Mus musculus: one gene and its partner. The protein of the gene in region 1 interacts with the protein of each later gene in a biochemical or structural test. Links are inferred from orthologs where the notes say so. Each region holds a gene or a part of one and is shown on either strand. Other genes may lie near its edges. The genes, in order: Nid1 and Fbln1.

The links.
Region 2: the proteins of Nid1 (region 1) and Fbln1 form a complex in vitro, tested with the Homo sapiens proteins (3 studies listed by BioGRID). The link is inferred for Mus musculus from reciprocal best matches to the Homo sapiens genes NID1 and FBLN1.

The regions. Positions count from the first base shown.
Region 1 is NC_000079.6:13,431,820-13,442,926, reverse strand, and holds the start of Nid1 (nidogen-1 precursor), read right to left. Parts: upstream 5,326-11,107; 5' UTR 5,226-5,325; coding exon 5,001-5,225; intron 1-5,000. UniProt on the Homo sapiens protein: Sulfated glycoprotein widely distributed in basement membranes and tightly associated with laminin. Also binds to collagen IV and perlecan. It probably has a role in cell-extracellular matrix interactions.
Region 2 is NC_000081.6:85,279,766-85,290,772, reverse strand, and holds the end of Fbln1 (fibulin-1 isoform 1 precursor), read right to left. Parts: intron 5,734-11,007; coding exon 5,594-5,733; 3' UTR 4,479-5,593; downstream 1-4,478. UniProt on the Homo sapiens protein: Incorporated into fibronectin-containing matrix fibers. May play a role in cell adhesion and migration along protein fibers within the extracellular matrix (ECM).

The DNA of each region.
Region 1 (11,107 bases):
ATCTGCTACTTTATCAGAATAATGATTTGGCTTCAATTAGAAGTTGGTCACCATCCAAAGACTGCCCCACCTGGGGATCCATCCCATAAACAACCATCAAACCCAGACACTATTGTGGATGCCAACAGGAGCTTGCTGACAGGAGCCTGATATAGCTGTCTCCTGAGAGGCTCTGCCAGTGCCTGACTAATACAGAAATGGATGCTCACAGCCATCCATTGGCCTAAGCACAGGGTCCCCAATGAAGGAGCCAGAGAAAGGACCCAAGGAGCTGAAGGGGTTTGCAGCCTCCTAGGAGGAACAACAATATGAACTAGCCAGTACTCCCAGAGCTCCCCGGGACTAAACCACCAACCAAAGAAAACATATGGTGGGAGTCATGGCTCTAGCTGCATATGTAGCAGAGGATGGCTTAGTTGGTCATCAATGGGAGGAGAGGCCCTTGGTCCTGTGAAGGTTCTATGCCCCGGTATAGGGGAATGCCAGGGCCAGGAAGCAGGAGTGGGTGGGTTGGGGAGCAGGGGAAGAGGGGAGAGGATTAGGGGGTTTTAGGAGGGGAAACCAGGAAAGGGAATAACATTTGAAATGTAAATAAAGAAAATATCCAATAAAAAAAAGAAAAATGAAAAAAAGTTGGTCACTATAATTAGTCAATTATATTTCAGTCCCTGGTGGAATTAATAACCTTGGATTCTGAGATTCAACCCCAGTCATTGCTCAACCACTGGGAAACCTGGGGGAAATGAGGAGCTCGTGCTTCTCCTCGCAGTCCCAGGCGGAAGCTGGATGCTCAAGGCTTAAGACAGGCTAAAATCGCCATCTTCCTTCCTGGGCCAGAGGCCCTGAGGGTGGAACATCCCGAGCAGCTTCAGATAGCAGTCCTGAAGGTCCTGTGAGGCAGTAAGTTAAGCAGTATTGCCCATGAACAACTAGAAGGTTGTGTGTGCTCATATGTGTTCATGCACGTGAGTATACACCTATATACTATATACGATAAATTTCTGTGTGTACATATATATGCATGTCTGTGCAGGCACATGGTCCTGTGCGTTTGGAAGCCAGATGTCTGTATCAGTTGTCTTGTTCTGTCACTTTCCTCCTTACTTTTTGAGACAGTGTCTGTCACTGAACCTTGGGTTTGCTGATTGGGCTAGAAACACGGACCAGCAAGACCCAGGAATCCTCTGGCTTTGCCTCTGCAAAGTGCTGAGATTGCAGGCTTGCTGCATGCTACTCCTGCCTTTTCTCCCCTGGGTTCTGGGGAATCAAACCCCAGTCCTCACGGTTGCAGGGCAAGCTTTTTAGCCCACAATCTTTTTGTTGCTAAAGATATTCTATTCCCAACTGTATGGAAGGTTTTTTGAATAAAATATTAAGTCATATCTAACTTGCTTATCCATCTTTATGACTCATGGGCAAGTAATTTAATCATCACTAAAATCATGTCCTAGAAATCACTCATTGCCTTACACGCCCAGTGAGGGTGGCCAGTCAACATGACAGCAAGCATACCAACGGAGACAACGTTCCAGGCAAAGGCAGGAAATGTTTTCATTCCTTGGAACAACTTTACCATAGTTTTCAAAAACTCTCACCCAGGGAGTTTAAGGTTCATGGACCAGGGCAGCAAGGCTCTGAAATTTCTAGTGCTTTAGTGCTCTGGATGGGGCTCAGCCCCTGCGTGGGATCTGGTGAATGACTGGTTTTATTGGCTGGACTCTAATGATGACCGTTCAGGACCATTCCTCTGGGGACTCACACATCATGAAGCAGGGAGGGATTCTGATGAGGACCACAGGAGGGCGCTAGTATCCAACATGGCACCTGCCTCTTCCAGAAGACATTCCCAACAATGCGTCCTTCCTGTCTTTATACTCAATGTCTTGATTTTATATATTTATGATCAGCCCTCGGGAATTTTGACTTCTGGAGCCCTTTGAACATTTCAGTTTTGAAGATTCCCCCAAGACCATAATCAACATTTAATCGTATGGAAAGGGGAAGCAAAGATCAAGTTAAATACTTAAAACACTTTAATAATGAATTTGTCACGTGTGAACAAAAACAGCATTATTTTAATGCAGGTGATTATAGTTCCAACCAAAAATACATTTGGAGAGGGCTTGAGAGATAGCACTGACTGCTCTTCCACAGGTCCTGAGTTCAATTCCCAGCAACCACATAGTGGCCTACAATCATCTGTAATGGGATCTGACGCCCTCTTCTGGTGTGTCTGAAGACAGCAACAGTGTACTCATATACATTAAATAAATTAATAAATAAATCTTTTTAAAAATACACATCATGAAGTATATGAAGAGATGAGACTTTCCTTCACGTGTGTGTCTGCAAATCAACCTGATGTCCAACTATATGGAAGGCAGATAGATGCTTCTTCGTTTGCCTGTGGGAACAGACATGTGGGTATCATGCATCCCGTAGTGAACTCCATCATACATTCCTGAGCAACTAAAGTCTAAAAGCCATTGGGGTCAGCAAGATGGCACAGCTTGTCTCACAGCCTGAAGTCTTGAGTTACCTAAATCCCATCCCTGCAGCTCATAACAACAGAAGAAAACCCATTCCTAAGGTCACCCGCCCTCTAGGCTCCACACATGTACCCATATGTACACATGCACACACATGTGCCCAGATGCATCATCATAGTCATCGTCATCATCATCACAATGCTTAGTAAAATAAGTAACGGGCTGGAGAGATGAGATGGGTCAGCAGTTAAGAACATTTAACCCAGGTTCCATTCCCAACACAGAGATAGGATCCCCAGTCCCAGCGGGGAGTCTGTTACCCTCTTCTGGCACTACACATATGTGGTGCTCAGACATACGTGCAGGCAAACTCCCATATACATAAAATACACATAAGGGGAAAAAGACAAAAGCAATAAACTTAATATTCCTTAAAATCACCTCCATCTTCTGAATTCCTTGACCCCAGAGGTCCGTGGGCCACACTTGGGAGATTGCCTCTTTGGAGCATTATCAAGGATAGCTGTTATTTTCAGAACTCTAAAATTATCTTAATTCTGTTTGCTTACTGAGAGAGTTTCTTGTACCCCAGGATATCCTCAAACTCAAACCCGAGATCCTCTTACTCCTCCCTCCTCGGTGCTGAGAGTGCACGCCTACACCACCACCTCCAGTCCATGTATGTATTTATTTACTCTTTCCCTTTGTAAACCAAGGTCTCCAGCCTTCCTTCCTCTCCCAGACTGTTAGCTTGAAGCTTGAGTGTCTGCTAGACACAGGATACTCTCCATCTGGTTTCCTTGGGGGCTTCCGGCACCAGAGTTAAATCAGGCCCTTGACCCCTAGCTCTGTCTGGCTTGTTTGGTCTGGTGCTTTGCTTGTTTGGGGAGTTTTTAAAATTAGGAGGAGTGAGGGGACACACAGGATAACTTGGATGAGTCAGGTTTTTTTCTTCCACTATGTGGGTCCTAGGGATGGGGGTATGAAATTAGGTTGTCAGGATTGACAAATAAAGTGCCTTTTACCCAGTGAGTCACCTCACAGGCTATTTCCTGGCTTTTAAAGACAAACTCCACAGTCCAGGCTGGCCTGACTCCAGAACTTCCTAGCCTTACCTCCCAAGTGTGGGATTTCAGGCAAGTACCACTATGGCCCCTACTCATATTCTCGCCTCGTGTGGAATCTGACAGACACTATTGATACACTTCAGATCACTTCTCAGATCCACCCTTTTTAATAGTTACCAAACCCATTGCTCCAGCTTCCACTACACATAGTGTGGTTTAAAAGGAAACAAGAGGGGCCAGTATATAGTGCAGTTGGTAGAGTTCTTATCTGTCATGCAGGAAGTCCTGGTTTTGATTCCTAACTCCTCCCTAACACATCCCTAACGGGGGTGGGGGTGGGGGAGTGCGGTTGCTGGGAAAGATGGAGAAGCCTCAATACTACATAAAATTGGTGTATATGCTTTAATATGTTGTGTGTGTGTTTTTTTTTTTTCCACCACGTTGTTTTCTTTGGTAAGGTGGAGGATTTCATTGTGTGTATTTCAAAGCATGCTAAAAGTCTATAGGCTTCTCCGGGCTTCCCACGGTGGGGCCAGGGCAACTAGCCAGCAAAGGGTAAGAGTTCTTTGTGGGTGTGACCCATTCTTTCTAGGCAAAGCTGACAAGCTGCACGTGGGTGTTGCCCCATGCTATCTGCCCAGGCCAGGCTGAGAGAATAGCCACTCCCCCGCCGTCTGTGTAGTCCCCCCACACACACACACTTGTGGAATGCACGCAGGCTTTATATCAAATCCACATGGTGTGCCGGAGCAGCACGAAAGGGCTTGACCAGGCTAACAGCGCTCCCAGGCCCTGCCAGCACTGGGGAGGTTCAAGGGAGCTAAAAGGTCATGAAGTCCCGCTCCTCATCTGGGGCCCCTGGGTGACACCCTCAGCCACAGGAAATTGGATCACCGGGGCGCCCTGCGTTCTCAGTCCTGACCTCTGTACTCTGAAACCAGCCCAACTAAGAGAGCAAAATCTCTGCCAAGACGTAGCCAGAACCCACGCACACAGATGCAGGGGCTGTCCACTGAAACTCTGGGGCGGAGCAGGAGGGTTCCTCTGTCCTTTCTAGCTTGCCATCGGCAGAGTCCCTAGGAGCGCTCACAGGATACAACCCAACTCTGGCCATTGAGCTGCAGGGTACTGGGACCTGTCCCAGTAGGAAGGCGAGAAGCGCACGGAATCGAGAAGGAAAACTCTACTCGAGGTCCCCAGATCCTGGCAGGGCGCGCGCATAGATGAGTGGATCCCGGAGGCAGATGCCACCCTAAACTTCGAGTGCTACTGGGGTGACAGACAAGCAATGCGATCCTCTAGATGCGCAGATTCAACGGAGAGCCCCTCACTGGGACAGCTAGCACTCGGGTCCCGGAGGGCGACGCCCAAGTTCCACATCTGTCTCTCTGGACTGGCGACCCCAGCATAGCCTGGCCTTCCTCCCCTCCCGGCCCCAACTCACATAGACCGACGTGATGTCCGTACGATCATAGAAGCTCAGTTCTCCGATCAGTTCCAGGGAGGGGGATACCACGTCGTCCCCGGCCTCCAGCTCTAGGTCCCCCTGCCCAGGGCCGAAGGGGAAGAGCTCCTGGCGATTCAGGCAGCCTCCGGGCCCCACTAGTAGCAGCAGCTGCAACAGCGCCCACGTCCACATCGCCCAACTACAGCCGCTCGCGTCCAGCATGTTTCCCAACTGTGGTCCCACAATCCCGGCGGTTTAGCAGCTCAGGCGGAGGAGGCGCAGATATAACCCTACGCCCCTCCGCAGTCCCTCCTCACCTCCCGCCTCCCGTCGTCCCCACCCCTGGAAATGGGGAGGAGAACCGAGGGGCTATGGGGGAGGGCCCGCCCACCCCGCCTGTCCCGTCTACCAATGGCAGCGAGCAGGAGGAAGAGGGCCGACACCGAGGTTCCCCCGCGCAGCAGTGGGCGTTGGTTCCCAGCATTCCGGATCCAACCCGACGGTGGGCTCCTATCCAGAAAGAAGGAACTTTGCAACAGCATTCTGCAGTTAGGCAAGTTCCTGGAGAGCGGGCAACCAGGAAACAAACACTTTGGGGCCAGGGACGGGACAGAACCCACCCTAGAAAGGAGACTGAGCGGATGCTCGAAATGCGCAAAAAGCCTGACAAATGTGTGTGCCTTTACTCATCCAATCACTAAGTGAGCATTTTTCCAGTTCCTGATTCTGGGTTCCTTAAGTTATAGGATTCCGCAGGAAACAGGAGCCCACACCTGCCAGACAAAGTCTCAAGTGTGGGACACAATTCAAAGTCAGATTTGCTTGGAGTCCAAGGAATAAAAACAGTTTGGGAATGGAGGAATTGGCCAGAGCAAACTTCTGTGTGGCGTGCTGGGAATCAAAGCGGGTTTTCTGGAAGTAATGCAGTTTCATCAGAGGCTAGAGAAAGGAGGTCCTGGGAGGTGGAAGGTGGGAGCAGGGCGGGTTCCAGGGACCCGATTATCAACTCCGTGCAGAGAAGTTGGGAGCGATGGTCCAAGCAAAGCTGAATAACAAATCCAAGAATCTGAGCTCCCCTAAAAACTCAGAGAATCCTGGACAGTCCTTTTTTTTTTTTTTTTTTTTTTTTTTTGACAAGGTTTCTCTGTATAGCCCTGGCTGTCTTGGAACTCACTCTATAGATCAGGTTGGCCTCGAATCAGAAATCCGACTGCCTCTGCCTCCCGAGTGCTGGGATTAAAGGTGTGCGCCACCACGCCCGGCAGAATAAAGATAACTTTTAAGCAATGTAATATTTCCAGTCAGCTGTTGATCATTAGTTTGGCACCTTAAGTGAAAATATAGAGAGAAACCACTGGACCAAGCCTGTTGGGGACTGGGGGTGACCCGTGAGAAGGGAAGAAGTTGAGACAGAGAAGAAATTAATAGACATTGTCATGAAAGAAAGAATGAAACCGAGAAGAAATGAAGTTAAAGTTGAATTCCACCGGAAGGCTGAAAAACTAGTGCAGGCTTTGAGAGCACCGGAAGAGGATGGGGGGGCGGGGTCCGACCCTTGACTCAGAGGGGTCAACAGGATGCCCCTGTTTCCTCCCAGCAGCTGAGAGTAAAGGTCTGGAACCTCCATTAGTTCTCCAGTATACAGAAAACTATGTGTGATGGGACTAATGGAGAACGTGAGCCTTGAACCAGCAAAATCCTGAAGAAAGAGGCAATGGAACATAGCTCCTGAGCATGAAGTTATTGATCTATGGGGGGTGCCCTTTCATTGACGCTCTTGAGTGGTCAGCAATAACAGGTACCAAGAGCTTGCTAGGCACGGAGTGTTCTGTGTTCAGTATTTCCTCTTAGGTTCTCAATAACAGGTCCTTCTGCTGGCATGGCCAACACTTTACCCAGCTGAGCTAGCTCTCAAGTTCTGGATATGCACGAACACACACACACACACACACACACACACACACACACACACACACACACACAGCATGGGAATGAAACCTAGGGCTTCATCATGCTAGGCAAACACTCTGGCCAGACCCTTGTTTTGTTTTGAGACAGGGTCTCATTACATAGTCCAGGCTGGCCTTAGCTCATGGCAGCCTACTAGCCTCAGACTCCTGGATGCTGGGATTACAAGTATGAGCCACTACATCCAGCTGGTTATTAGCATATTTGCAGTATGAAGAGTCAAACCCAAGGCTTTACACATGGCAAGCCCCTCAACCACTACATGAATTTGAAACCTTGACACTAAGTTGCATCTGTGCTGCTACATTATCCCCGGTGCTCAAGTCTTTTGTCAGATCTACTGTGCAGCTCCAATCCCTTCCATATGCCCAGGTATCCTTCCTAGCTCCCTGACAACCCCATGCCATCTGTGCACTGCCTGGCTGATGTCTAAGATCCTAGGCCTTAGCTTGCCTTGTTTCAGTTACTGAGAACTTTGTGCAGAGGCCTGGGTTCCCCTGCACAGAGTACTCATGGACCCCCTACAACACTGAGACCCAGTAGAGGCCAAGAAAAGGAGCTCACCAGCCTTTTCCCACCTGCAACCTTTCTTTTCCCCTTCAACCCCCATCCCAAGCTCATTACACATCAGGGCTGTCCCGAAGCTGTGGTCAGTGCCTGGAATGTACTTATCCCTCTCACAGATTCTCTCCCTTTTTGGTACTCAGACAGCTGCTGAAACTCCTATTGGCCAGTGGAATTTTTCTTGGTGACTGTAGGAGCAGAGCCTGCCTCCTCCTCCACCTTCCCACCCCCTACCCCCCCCCTTTACTGGCTGCACAAACGTAGCAAGAGCGCAAAGTTTCTGTATCCCTATCATTTGATTGGGATATTCACAGGGACAATTGAGGAATTGTTATGAGGGTTAGATAAGGTGATCCCGAAATTAGACAAAGTATATAATCTAGTTAACGCAAAGCCTCCATCATTATCTGAACAAGTTGTTGTCATGTTGATTAGCTCAACATCTCTGGAGAAGGTACCAGGCAGATACCATAGACATGAATACATAATCCCTTTTGTGAGAAAATGGCAATATCCTGGGGGGGGGGAAGGGCAAGATAATGGCCCAACAAATATACAGCGAGTGAGGCTAGACGCTGCTTGTGAGGTTTTGGGCTTCTCTGGAGCCTAGTGAAGCTACAGCCGAACCATGTGGTGAATTTGGGGAGCCTCATCCAGTCTCACACAGCTAGTGGAAGAGCAAGGGCTTAAGCCTTGCTTTGTTTAACCCCAAAACTGCTACACCATCTCTCCTTTCCATAGCAGACAAGGTTTCTGCCACCTAAACAGAGAACTTAGTCTCTACATGTAGATGCATTTGGTCCGGTGTTTCTAGCTAACAGCCACACTCTATGTGTGTTTATGGTTCCATACTTCATCAGCCTGTACTGTAAACTGGCTGTCACTATTTATAGCTCTGCAGTCACTTCACATTGCCCTGTCTCTGGGAGACCTAATTCTGCTGCTGAATATCTTACCAGGGACACTGCAGGCTGTGTCCCCTGTTCCTTTAGGAGTTATACTTCCAGATAGTTCTCATAATCTGCATCACAAACTGTGCTCTGAACATTTTTCAAATGTATGTAAAGTCCCGGTATGGTGGTATACGCCTGCAATTCTAGCATTTGGGAGATGGAGACAGGACGATCAGGAGTTCAAGGCCAACCTCAATTGCATAGTGTGCTCAATGCCAGCCTGGGCCAAAACAATGATACAGTTTATAATAATATGGTCTTTTTTTCTAGTTGTTTCATGTGATTTTTTTTTTCCTTTCTTTGGATCAAGGATCTATATTCTAACTCTAGAGCACTGTGTGCACATGAAAAGGGTTAACTTTTTAAGACTTCAGTAGGCCACACACCTGTAATCCCAATACTTGGGAGACAGAGACAGGGCAAGGGTTCAAGGTCATCCTTGATTACATGGAAAGGTTTGCAGCCAGCTGAGGTCACATGAAACCCACTCTCAATAAGTGAAGCAAGGGGTTTGTGCGATGGTTTATTAGGCTAAAGTGTGTGCTCTGCAAGCATGAATGTGGAGGACTCTGATCCCCAGAACCCACACAGATGTCAGGCAGGTGTGCTGGCCTCCCTGGAATTCTAACCTCTGAAGATGGAGACAGAGGTTCCCCAGAGAAGTCTGTCTAGTAAGACTTACCAGATCCATGAACTCTGGATTTGATTGAGAGACCTTGCCTTAATGAATAAGGTGAAAGACTAACTGAAGATGATTCCAATTACTAATCTCAGGCCTCCACATCAGTGTGCTGCGAGTGCACATGCACCCTTACACATGCTCCTACACTTGTAAAACATTACACACACACTACACACATACACACACACACTACACACACACATACACACACTACACACACACATACACTACACACTACACACACACATACACACACTACACACACACATACACACACTATACACACTCACTACACACACACACATACACACACTACACACATTAGAATGGAAATAAAAATGAAACTTTAATAATACTGTTTTGAATGCTGGGGTGATATTTTGTTGAGGTTGACCTCTCTGGTGCTCATGTAGTTCAGGCTGGCCTCAAACTCACAGCAACCATCCTGCCTCAGCTTTCCAAGCACTGGGATTACAGATGTGTGTCCCCACTAAAGGCATTGATGATGCTTTTAAGAATAATTTGATAACTTCACTAGCAACAAACGAACATATAATTCCATAATACACCCTTTTTTAAAAAAATGTGGGCTAGGAGTACAGCTTCATGGTAGATCATGCACTTAGTATAAACAAGGGTCTTAGTTGATCTGCAATGCTATAAACATTTCTTTTTAAAATCTAAGTTTAAAAAATGAAGATAGGCGCAGTGACCCATGCTTGTGATTCCAGCACCAGAGAGGTAGGGTCCAGGGAGGGAGGTCCTGGTGTTTGTTTTTGGCACTTTCCAGGCCAACGTAAGGTTCTATCTCAAAAAACAAGGTGGGAGCGGAGAGATAGTTCATCAGTTAAGTTTGTCTATTGTTCTTGCAGAGGCTCAAAGTTTGGTTCCCAGCAGCCACATCTGACAGCTCACAATTGTCTGTAACTCTCCAGAAGATATAGTTCTATCCATGTCTAGATGTTGCTTACAAGATCTCAGGGGACCCAAACAGTGTTCTGGCTAGCTCTGTGTCAACTTGACGCAGGCTAGAGTTATATCTGAGAGGAGGGAATCTCAGTTGAGAAAATGCCTCCATAAGATTGATCCAAGGATCAGTCAGTAGGACATTTTCTTAATTAATAATTTGATGTGGGAGCATCCAGTATATTGGGGTGGTGGCAACCCTGGGCAGTTGGTCATGGGTATCACTAGAGGGCTGAGCAAGCCATGGAGAGCAAGCCAGCGAGCAGCATTCCTCCATGGCCTCTACACCAGCTTCTGCCTCCAGATTCCTGCCCTATTTGAATTCTTTTCCTGACTGCTTTTGATGATGTACTACTCTGTGGAGTAAAATAAATTCTTTCCTCTTCTAATTGCTTTTGGTCATGGTGTTTCATCCATCAATAGAACCCTAATGAAGATAGTTGGATCACCAAAAGTCCCATCATAGCATGTGACAACTTATCAATGGAGTGCTAACCCTCAGCCAACCTTCTACTTCTTATATAGCTTAGCACCACTCCCTCTTAGCCCACAAGCAGCTGGAACTGAAACAGGAGAGAGCAGTTCCTGCAGGCCAGGTGAGAGTTTTTGACATATTTCCCCCTTCTGAGATGTAAAATTAACAGTCCTATTACCACCACTATGGGCAGAACTATTTGTTGCCATGACTACAGAGTCACGGTAGTCTGCGGGTCGCCACAACCATCTCAGCTCTAAAACGGTCAGGAGTTACATGACCCTGTGAGGCCTAGAAGACCTAGTGAGTTCAGAGCTCTATACAAGCCAGTGTGTGCAGTTGGTAGCCTCGGGCTTTAATGTGTCAGATGCTAGAGTCCCAAAGCAGGTGTTGAGCTGCTGTCCCTGCCCTCACCTCCAGGTGAGGACCAGGGTGTGTATTACATCTGCCACATCTGGTTGCATCAACATCAACACAGGGTAGAGCTTGGCTTTCT
Region 2 (11,007 bases), on another chromosome or scaffold:
GCCCCTCCATGCCCCGCCCCTTCCAGTATCCACAGCTGCACCAACCTTGGGAATCTATCTACATCCTATAGTGAGAAAATAGAGGGCAAGCACTTTGTCCAGGAGGGTCCATTCCTTTGAAGATTGGCTTCCTTGGGTCCCTGAGCTTTGTGGCTTTGTGGATAATGAGGGTGTGGTGGGGGGGAGGGGCATGGAGTGCATCTCGAAGTAAAAATCATGGGCACCACTTTCCAGAAGCATCCAGAAAAATGGACTGGTCCAAGCTCCTGGGGAAGGCCATCTCCTTCCACCCTTGAGCTGAGAGGCCTTCTTATCCACCCTTCAGAGCCTCTGATTTGAGGAACAGTCTCTGACTTAAGTCTATATAGTATAAGCATGTCAAGACAAGGTCACTGGGTTCCAGCAGAGCTGTCCCCTGGAGGTCTCATGAACACGCCAAGGGCTCCAAACACACAGGCATGCCCATGATGGGGTCTGCACAGAGGCTGCTTGGCATCTTTCCAGGGCTTGAAAGCCTGGGCCCCCATTCCCTCTAACCTCCTCCCCTGGGTGAATTACCTGCACACAATTAATTATGCAATTATCTAGATGAGGCTGTGAAGAGCAACGATCAAATCGTCAAGATGGGCTGTGGGATAAGACGCTCCTACTTTGCCAAGTGGAAAACAGTCCTCCCTCACTTCTGAGATCCAGTAGCTGCCACAGCGAGGGCCACACTGTGGCCTTGGGGTGAACCTGGCTCAACATGTCCTTGACGGGATCCAAAGCCCAACCTGCTACCCCAGAGCACTGTCGCATAACCATCATTGACCAGTGGCTCCGCTTCTCCCCAGCAGCCTGTTCTTATGTCATGGAGAGGTTACCATCTGGAAAGTTGCTTGTCTGGGAACAGGGGTGGTTCTGAGTTTGGGTTCCAAGATCAGGGCCTGAGAGAATAGATGCATTGTCCAACTGAGCAACTGAGCTGCTGAGGACTGTCTGCCTTTCGAAGCGTAGATGGGTGAGGTGCACATAGACCTGAAAGTCAGTACTTGGAATCTGGTGTGGGGAAGGCTGCATCTTTTTTTTTTTTTAATGTTTGTTTGTTTTTAAATGCACTATTTTCTGAAAAAGGCTTAAAGTTATGAAAGAGGAGAGGAGAAGGAAGGTGGGTTTGTTATATCTCAGAAAGAGTTTCTAACAAGATACCTGGGAGTGGATTATCTGAATTGTGAGCCAGCTGTGAGCCCCGGGGAGCTGGAGAGATGGCCCAGCAGTTAAGAATACTGGCTGCTCCTGCGGAGTTCCTTAGATTAGTTTCCAGCTTGGGCTGCTCATAACTACCTGTGACTCCAGCTCCAGGGGAATCCAACACCCTTTTCTGACCTCCTTGGACACCTACACACATGTGGAATACACAGATACCTTCACATATACAGATGAGCAAATATAAAGTAAATAAAATAAGCCTCCCTGGAAACTGTCCTTCCTCGGCGCCCACTGCTGCTGCAGCTTACTGGCATCAGCTGTCACAGTGACGGGCTGTCCTTCGCAGTGGCAAGAGTCTAAGCATTTCCTCCGCCTCCTGTCTATTTGCAGAGCTTTGGTGCTTCTCATTCAGAGAAGTTCTTCTGTGGGAGGAACCTCAAGAGGACAAGAATAAGTCCCCACTGTGGTGCTTCCTGCCCAGCAGGGGCAGACACATAGGCGAATGCTTATAGGACAGTTATAAATCACCTCTTCACTGCCTGTCCAGACTCTAATAAACTGTGTCAACTCATGGAATGAAAACCGCTCCCTCTCATGCATCTACAGCGCCAGTGCTGCTGACTGGGGTCTTTTTTGTGCAGCAGTTTCTCCACCCTCCCCAACCCCACCCCATCCCCCTGCCCAGCTAAGCCTCAACCCCATCACGGAGTTCACATCATGGAGTCCACATGATGCTGTGAAACCTAGGGTCATGTGTCTCAGAGCTTCTGAGTGATTGACCCTGAACCCAAACATGCAAACTTCAAGACTGATAAACTGTTAGGCCAGGCTATCTCATTCTATCCTATCCTATAGACCAGGCTCTCTCATTCTATCCCATCCTATCACCATATATTTAAAGTACAGCCAGACCCCTAATGCCTCAAGAGCAGAGTCTAGGTGCTAGGTGCTAGGTGCTCTGCCAGTCTTTGTAAAATCCTTCTAACCTTGCTGTGTCATTGCAAGAATTTTCTCTCTATGGACCACTAAGAAGGCAACTGGACCTTCTCCTTGTAGGGTCCTAGTGACAAACCAAAGTTCCCCCCTAGGAACTAATAAATTAGTGAGTTTCTTAGGCTTATGTACAGAACGTGGGAGAAGTGTCACAGGCAGGAGTGCTGGTGACCCTCCCTCGAGCAGCCACACTGGAAAGTTTGCATCCAGCATGGACGATGGCTCCCACACAGCTGCAGAGATGGAGAACCTTATTCCCCTAGTCCTCCCCAGACTATATACTGCACCCACTCCCCAAGACCCCAGGGCTACATTCAATTAGAGCAGAAGAGAAAGACTGCATATAAGTGATTGGGAGGAGGGGCTGGGTGCTCAGGTGAGGCTCCGGTGGCCCTCAGAGCCTTCTCCTGGGAGGGAATGGCCAATACTCAACAAGGTCAGCTGTGATGATCTTGTACAAACAGGCACCACGGAATCCATGAAGACAGCAGCTGTTTGGCTCTGAGGACCGGTGCTAGGCAACAAGCATATTTGAAATTTTGAATAAAATAGGTAAAAGGCAAAGAACAAACAGCTGACTTCAGGTGGCTATTTGCTAGAGCAGACCCAAGAACCTTGTTGGGACTTGGGAAGGCAGGCTTTCCATCTTTGGTTCTGAAGGCTGGGTGGGGGTGGGGGTGGAGGGCCTCTGCTGCTCTTTCTTGGTTCTCATATATTTATCAACACTGATCTCTTAAAAACATAGGCTGGCCTGAGCATCTCTCTGCTTCAAGCCACAGAACTCCTGAGTGCAGTTGGATAGGTCTCCTTCTGTTGGGATTTGTGCATTAATGTTTCTTGGAGCTCCCAGGTTGGAGGCTTGGTTCCCCAGTGCAGTGAAGCTCAGTGGTCAGTGAGGCCACAGGGAGGTGACTGGATCCTGGGGATTGTGGCTTTGTCAAAAGATTCATCCGCTGAAGGATTCATAACTTAACAGTGTCTAGGAAGGTGGTGGGAACTTCAGGAGCGGGTTCCAGTTGGAGGAAGTAGAGCATGGGGACATGTTTTTGAGGGGGAATCTCTTGTTCCTGGCCCCTCCCATCTTCCTTTATTTACTTCCTGGCTCCCCACTCTACCTTGCCACAGACCTAGAAGCAATAGGCCTTAGGTGGAAACTTCTGTGTGAGCCAAGATAAATCTTCCGACTGATTTCCTCACGTGCTTTGTAACAGCAGCTAAGTCAGCTTCCTTCAAAGCCAATAGCTTGCTGTTAGCATAGGGCAGTGTGATACCTTTCTGGGACCATCTGTGAGAAGCTCATTCTATGAGATCAGCAAGTGACTGGCGTCTCTTTGCTGACCCTTTATTAAATGCTTTCTGTTCAGGGAAGCCCTTCAAGCATTTAGGGAGGCAGTTAAGAAGGGCACACCATTGTTGGGAGACTCTGACAATTTCTTTTGTAAGAATCATGGGTACTCATGGGACCACGGCACATGGTTGGGGCTGAGTGCAACTGACACACCTGTCCATCTGTCTCTGCTGGGTGTCTATGTATAAAGAAGGAGCCTGATACGGGGTCCTGTCATGCCCGTGACTGATGCTGAGTGATGTTTGCTAAGTGATATATTCAGCTGAACTGGATGGGGTATCAAGAGTTCAGGACCAAACAGCCAGAATTTGAACCCATCTATGTTTCTAAAAGGCTGTGTGAGCTCGGGCGATAAGAGTTTCCCTCTGAGCCCTTTGTGGTTCTCTTGAGATTGGGCCTTATCACACCCAGTAAACAAAGTACCCTGTGACAAGCATACGACTCAGTCATCGCATCTTTTGGGGATACCATGGGCAGCAGCCTCCTTTCCTTGTGCTGTTAGCTTTGAGTCGTTATCCTCTACCACCCTCCACCCCAGGAAGCTTTAGTGAGGCCGCAGATGACCCTGAGGTATAAGACTTGGAGCAAATCAGAAATCCCACGGCTCAGAGAGGTGTCTGACAGGACCAGACATCGGTCAGCTTCTTAGAGGGCAGGTATGTGCTCAGACGTGTCTCCCCGAAAGTTAAATGATAAAAACGTCATCTCCAGATCCATGTATTTATTGATGGATTTTGGAAGTAGGGGCTTTGGAGGAGGGTACTGGGATTAGAGGAGGTCGTCAAGAGCTTTGTTAGAAGGGAGACCTGAAGTAGTATTCCTGCTCATCAGATGACATCCTGCCTCGTCATGGGGCAGAGAGGACCACACCAGATGTCAAGCCAGCACCTGGACTTCCCAACCTCCAAGAAAAGAAAATATACATATATGTGTATGTATATGGATATATGCTAAGTAAACATTTATTCTTTATAAATAGCCCAGCTTTTAGTATTTTGTCATAGCAACAAGACAATATGACAACAACGATTCCAGACTGGGAAGCTTTTGCAACCCCTTAGCTGGAGCTATGGGGGCAGGGGAGACTTTGAAATTGGCTTTAGGAGAGATTTGCAGTCCTCCAGCTCATGGAAGACCTCTGAGCTAGCAGAAGCCCCATCCGGAGAGTGTATAGTAGGTTGTCAGGAAGATCACAAAAGCCTGTTTACTCTTGTGAGGAAAGGCAGCTTCAGGGTACAAAGAAAGCCAGCCACCTCTATGGACACACTGAAACACACCAGACACTTCTACAGACACACAGGGACACACCAGCCATCTCTACAGACACATGGGGACACACCAGCCACCCCCATAGACACACTGGGACATACTGGCCACCCTCACAAACAGATAGGGATGCACCAGCCACCCCCATGGACACACTGGGAGACACCAGCCACCCCAGACACACTGGGACATCCCAGCCTTCCCCACAGCCATACCAGGCCACACACAAACCTTGCAGCTCACATCTTTACCAAGGGGCCCTCCTTTGAACAAAATTGCAATCCACTTTCCAAGTGCCCCCGAGGCATGCTTGTCAGCTGCTTCTGGGGAGAATTTATTGTACATTTATTTATGTGCCACTCTACAGCAGCCATCAACTTGAAACACAAAGAGCCCCGTTGGTTAAAAAAAAAAAAAAAAAAGTACCAAAATGCCAATCCTCATGCAGACTCAGTGAGAACTACCTCGGCTTTTGGGTGGAGTGCTGCTTTGAAAACTCCTTCAATTGGTCCTTAGCAATGCCTAGCTCACAGGTAGAGAAAGGGAACAAAATTCCGATTTGGCCTTTGCATTTAAAAAAAAAAGCAAGGATTCAACCACCCAGCTGAGCCATGTTTAAACGCCACAGTACACCAGCTGGACTTAAGTGATGCGGCTCAGCCTAATGCACGTGGCCATACAAACCAATATGAAACATCAAGGGAGGCCCGAGGGGTAGAGACAGGCACCTGGCTGTCACTGGCAGCAAGGGCGTAGCCAGGGGGCGGGGTACACTCCTGGCTGAGCCACAACCTGCCCTCAGAACCAGTACTCGGAGACGAAGATGTGTACATTGACGACGTTCCGGTGGGAAACTACGCCTCCCAACACGTAGTTCATCTCCAGCTTCAGGACAGCGTAAAACGGGCCCACGATGGGCCGCACTTGGCGCACGACACCTGGGGAGAGAGCAGAAGGCATGCTGTTGGGTGTTGGCAGGCACGGGGCAACATGGGTAGCTGGGAAAGGGGTCCTTGGGAATGTCAAGGCTACAGTGGTAGCCCGAGGCAGACGCTTTAATCACCAAGGTAACCATCCCCTTCCACCTGGTCACTCTGGGTTGCTTCCAGTCACTAGGGATAAGGTGACAGTGAGCTCACTACATCCCTTCTGTCACACACAGCTTGGAAGGGGAGGGAAGCAGCCAGTGTAGCTTTGGGGATTGGCAGGTCTGGGACAAGGCCAGCTGCGGTCCTTGTGGGGAGCTTGGGTTTCCTCTTCTACTACCATTTGTCTAACAAGGGCTCAAAGGCCCTAGAAAAGGCCTGAAATAAAATTGAGCCTTCTCTCCTTCCATCCTTCCTTCTTAGATCCCTGACGGGGACCCTAGGGAGAAAAAAAGCAATGGTTTATTCCTGGGACATTTGAAGATTACAAGGGTAGGTCCCCCTCTCCAGGAGTAGCAGCCCCAAGTCCCTTCAAGTCGGGTCCTTGGACATCCTGCAACATAGAATCCAGATACCCGTGCATGCCATCTGTCAACACATCACCCACAGACTTCTCCCTAAGCGAACCTGTTTTTAACTTGGGAAGGGGACATTACAGACCTCCACAGGCAGTCAGCACCTCACTCTCATCCCCACGGCAGCCACAGCATTGCAACCATGTCCCTCCAAAGGCCTATATGCAAATATGGCTTCTGAAAGGCTTGTCACCCTTTGCTTACCGCTGGGCCCCTCCCCGGGCTAGGTCAGCCTGCCAGGTTGGGTGGGGTCACAATGCTGGCTGGGCCTGTAATATTCATAAAGTTCCTTTGAATCCATGCATACTTTTTCTCCCTGTAGGCTCCAGGCCCACAGGGTGTCTGCCAGCCACTGGGACATTAGCCATGGGAGAGCAAGGGTGTTCACACCATTTGGCCCATGGCTAAAAAGCTGCTGCTCAAAGGGACCCTGAGAGGCCAATGAGCCTGTGATCTGCTACAGGACAGTGGTATGATGAATGTCTTCAAGCTCTGATCGGATCCTGCTTTGTTCCTATTAAGCAGTATTTCAATATAATTTCATGGGGACTGGAGAGATGGCTCAGTGGTTAAGAGGGATCCATGTTCGATTCCTAGCACCTACACTGAATGGCTCACAACACTATATAACTCTAGCTCCAGGGGGTACAAAACCTCTTCTGAACTCTCATGCATATATACAAAGAAACTTAATTTCATATATATATACACATACATATTTATATGTATATATATGTATATATATACACACACATATGTGTATGTATATACACATACATATGTATGTATGTATACTGATATTTTATATAACATATATTTCATTGATCCATATATATTCATATATATATATATATATATATATATATATACACATACACATATACTGTTGATTGTATACAATGATATATAAGATATCAACATATAACATAGACATCATAAAATCTTATCTCTTTGTGGGAGTAGGTTTCAATCAGGGTCTCATGCAACCCAGGCTGGCTTTAAACAAATTATGTAATAGATCATGACCTAAAACTTTTGATCCTCTGGACCTCATTTTTGGAGGATGATAGGCATGTATTACCATGCCCAACTTGAATAAAATTTTAAATGATAAGGGTCATATTATAGGTACCTATTGATATAATATTAACATGTTGATCATACTGTCACACCTACAGGTTGACACGTATGTCAATATATCTCATTTAAGTGACCATTCCTACATACTCATGGGACCCCTCACAGGGTCCACAGTTCACACACGACTGGGCATGTAGTAGACGCCTGACACTGAAATCCGTAAGAAAGGAGAGGGGCCTGGTGAGATGGCTCAGTGAGCAAGGCAACTGGCACACTAACCTGATAGCCTGAGTGTAGTACCTGGCACCCACGGCAGAAGGTGTGAATGGACTCCTGAAAGCTGTCTTCTGTGCATCGTGTGTGTGTGTGTGTGTGTGTGTACACTAAATAAAATAAGGTTTAAAAAAATGTAGAGAATGCGATGGTAGTTGTGGAGGGTGGGTCTGGGTCAGAAAGGTGATCGAGAACTCACGTGTGGGGCACGGAGATTGAGCGTGACCAACCGGAGTCAGAGGAGTTACTTAACTTCTCTGAGCCTCAATTTCCTTTCCTGTGGACAGACATAAAACCCAGCAATCTTCATAATCAGAAACCAAACAAACTGGGGGCCCAGGCCTGCAATCTTAGCCACTTGAGATGTAGGAGCAGGAGGATTGTGTGTTCAAGGCCTTTCTGGGCTACAGTGTGAGTTCAAAGCCAACTTGGGAGCTTAGTGAGATCCTGTCTCAAAATAAAGTTTCCAGAAAAATGTAGCTCAGTGACAGAGCACTTCCCAGCAAGTGTGAAGGCCCTGGATTTAGTCCCCAGCAACACACACACACACACACACACACACACACACACACACATATTCAGAAATGACTGCTGGATATAAAACATGCAATCTTTCAGTGTGATCTCTGTGCTCCAATGGCTAGGAAATGTTTGCATCTAAACCCATCATCTCAGGGAATTTATGAAGGTTCATTTCTGTCATATCTGAAGACCAGAATGCCATACTGTTGTCTGGTTTGTAAAAGTCACGTGGTGTGACAAAGCAACAAAGCAAGGGAAGGACTACAGGGCCTCCAGGTGCCAGGCCTCATCATAGACATGAGTCACTTTCAGAGCCTACAGTGGCTCAGGATCTTTGCGCACAGCAAGAAAGATGACTAAGGACAGCTCGAAATACTGCCTGGGTTAAGCAAGAGCTTGTGTGGGTGCAGGCTCAAGGAATGTGTCCCTTCCAGCTCGCCCAGAATCTTCTGTCTTCTGCCCCTTTGACCTGAAGTCTGTGTGGTACCTGCAGCTAGCCACAGCTTCACTCAGCTCAGAGCTATCTTTCTCACACTGGACCCCTCGGAGGGCCCAGCTCCCAATCCTTCCCAGCCAGGCAAACTTTCTTGCACCTGTGTTTTCAGAGAATAGGTTTCCTCTGTCTCACTAGTTCAAGTCTGGCTTTCACATTCTTGCCCTCACCTTGACTGAAACCAGGCTGCAGTGTTTCATGAAAGATGACATAAAACCCAGCTGGTCCCCAGTGCCTGGCACTCAACAAATATCAAATGGATAGATAGTTCTGGTGCCAACTTTTTATTCATAGCTTCCTATCACCTGCCATCTTCTCACCCACCTATCATCCATCTATCCATCCATCTATCCATCCATCCATCCACTCATCTATCATCCATCCATTGATCCATCCATCCATCCATCCATTCGACATCCATCTACCCATCCATCCACCATCCATCCATCATCCCACTGACCAACTCATCCATTTATTTAACCCATCTATCTCATTTGTTCTTCCAGCCATCCTTCCATCTACCCATCTGTCCCTCTATCCAACAGAGGTCAATCTACACAGGGAGATTTGGGGAAGTTTCTATAGAGGAACAGATATTTAAATAGGGTTGTGAAGAGTAAGTTGGGGCCCAGAGAGCAGGAAGGACATGTGTTCTCAACTGTAATGCTCTACCTGCCCAGTTCATAGGACGTTCCAGCTAGCCTCCCATTCAGGGCAGACTGCATTGTGCTCATGCCTGCTCCACCCTCCCCAGGGTTTGGGCAAGCACCTGGCTGGAGTTCAGCCATGATTACTGAAGGAGATGGAGATTCGAAGGAAAAGAAAGGAAGTCAGTTCTTGAGGCCCCACTAAGAATGCATCACTGTCTGGCCTCACAGGTGGCATTTCATTCTGTAAGATCTGTTTTAAACTCCTGTAAATACTCCTCGAGAGCAGAGAACCCCTTCCTCCATGGGGCCCACAGGCTAGTGTGGGCTATGGCACAAACTGGGAGTCATGAGGCCCATTCTGGGAGTCAGAAATTGGCTGGAGGCACTCCATGGCTTCTCCCTCCTGTTCTCCTGAACTCAGGTCCTCCTGTCCCATGTTCCCATCACCTTCCTGTGAGGAGCACTGTGACTACCTTCTTCAACATTGTACTTCTCATTCCACACGGTTATATTCCGTGTTTGCCCATAGCATTTGCCTTCTTAGAGCGCCCCACGAAGGAGGGTAGGCTTTCCCATTGAAGCGCTGTCCTATGGTGCACAGTGAGAGAGCCTGGGGCAGCTAGCCCTAAATGGAAGTCTTTATCCAACCCGTCTACTTCAAGGCTCAAGGACCTATACAGAAGAGGAGGCAGAGAGAATGTAAGAGCCAGAGGTCATTATGACTCTAGGGAAGACAGAGTCTTCCAGACAGAACAGGGCTGATGCACAGATATATGAACACACAGAGATTGACCGCACAGATGCAAAGCAGACAAAACCCCAGCACTGAGACCGGGAGTGGACATGAAGTTCCACCCCTAGTCAACCTATTTGCAACTGATCCCTGATGGGAGGGAAAGTCTGTTTTCTCCAATAAAAGGCTACTGGGTAGATCAACCCCCATTCCAGGGCAGGCCACATGCTTAGGAGCAGCTGACAAGCACAGAACGGACTCCATGGTTTCTTCTCTGTGTGTTTTGTTGTAATGGTTTGATGATATTTTTTTGAGAGAGAGAGAGAGGGAGACAGAAAGAACATGAAGTTGGGTGGGTAGGGAGGTGGGAAGAATCTGGAAAGAGCTGGGGAAGAGAAAATTTTAGAAACAAAATATATTGTACAAAATTTAACAAGAGCTACAGAAGGCTTTGGCTAAGGGCATATTTCTTTGACTGACACGTGTAGCAGCAAGCAGCCCATTTCCATCTAGCCTGACATGCCCGTCCCATCTGGAGGGGTGTTCCAACCTTTTCAAAGGCTCTGGCAAAAGGGAAAGAGGACTTGGACAGATGGTTCGTTGGGTACAGTGCTTGCCTTGCAATCAGGACCTCAGTTAGGAGCCTCAGCATTCACGTAAGGGTCCACGTGTGGTGATGTTGTGCACTGTAATCCTGGTGAAGGCAGATGCAGGGCAGACAGGTGGATCCCTGGAGCTCAATGGCCAGCTAGCCTAACCTACTCAGCAACATCCCAGGCCAATGTTGAACAAAAGGTAGACGGTGCCTAAGGACCAACAGTCAAGATTATCCTCTGACATCCTCACATACACTGTGCATGCATGCACCTATACACCACACATGTATATACCTGTATTCACATGTGTAACCACACATACATGACCATGCGTGCATGCCCTCGAGCACGCACACACACACAC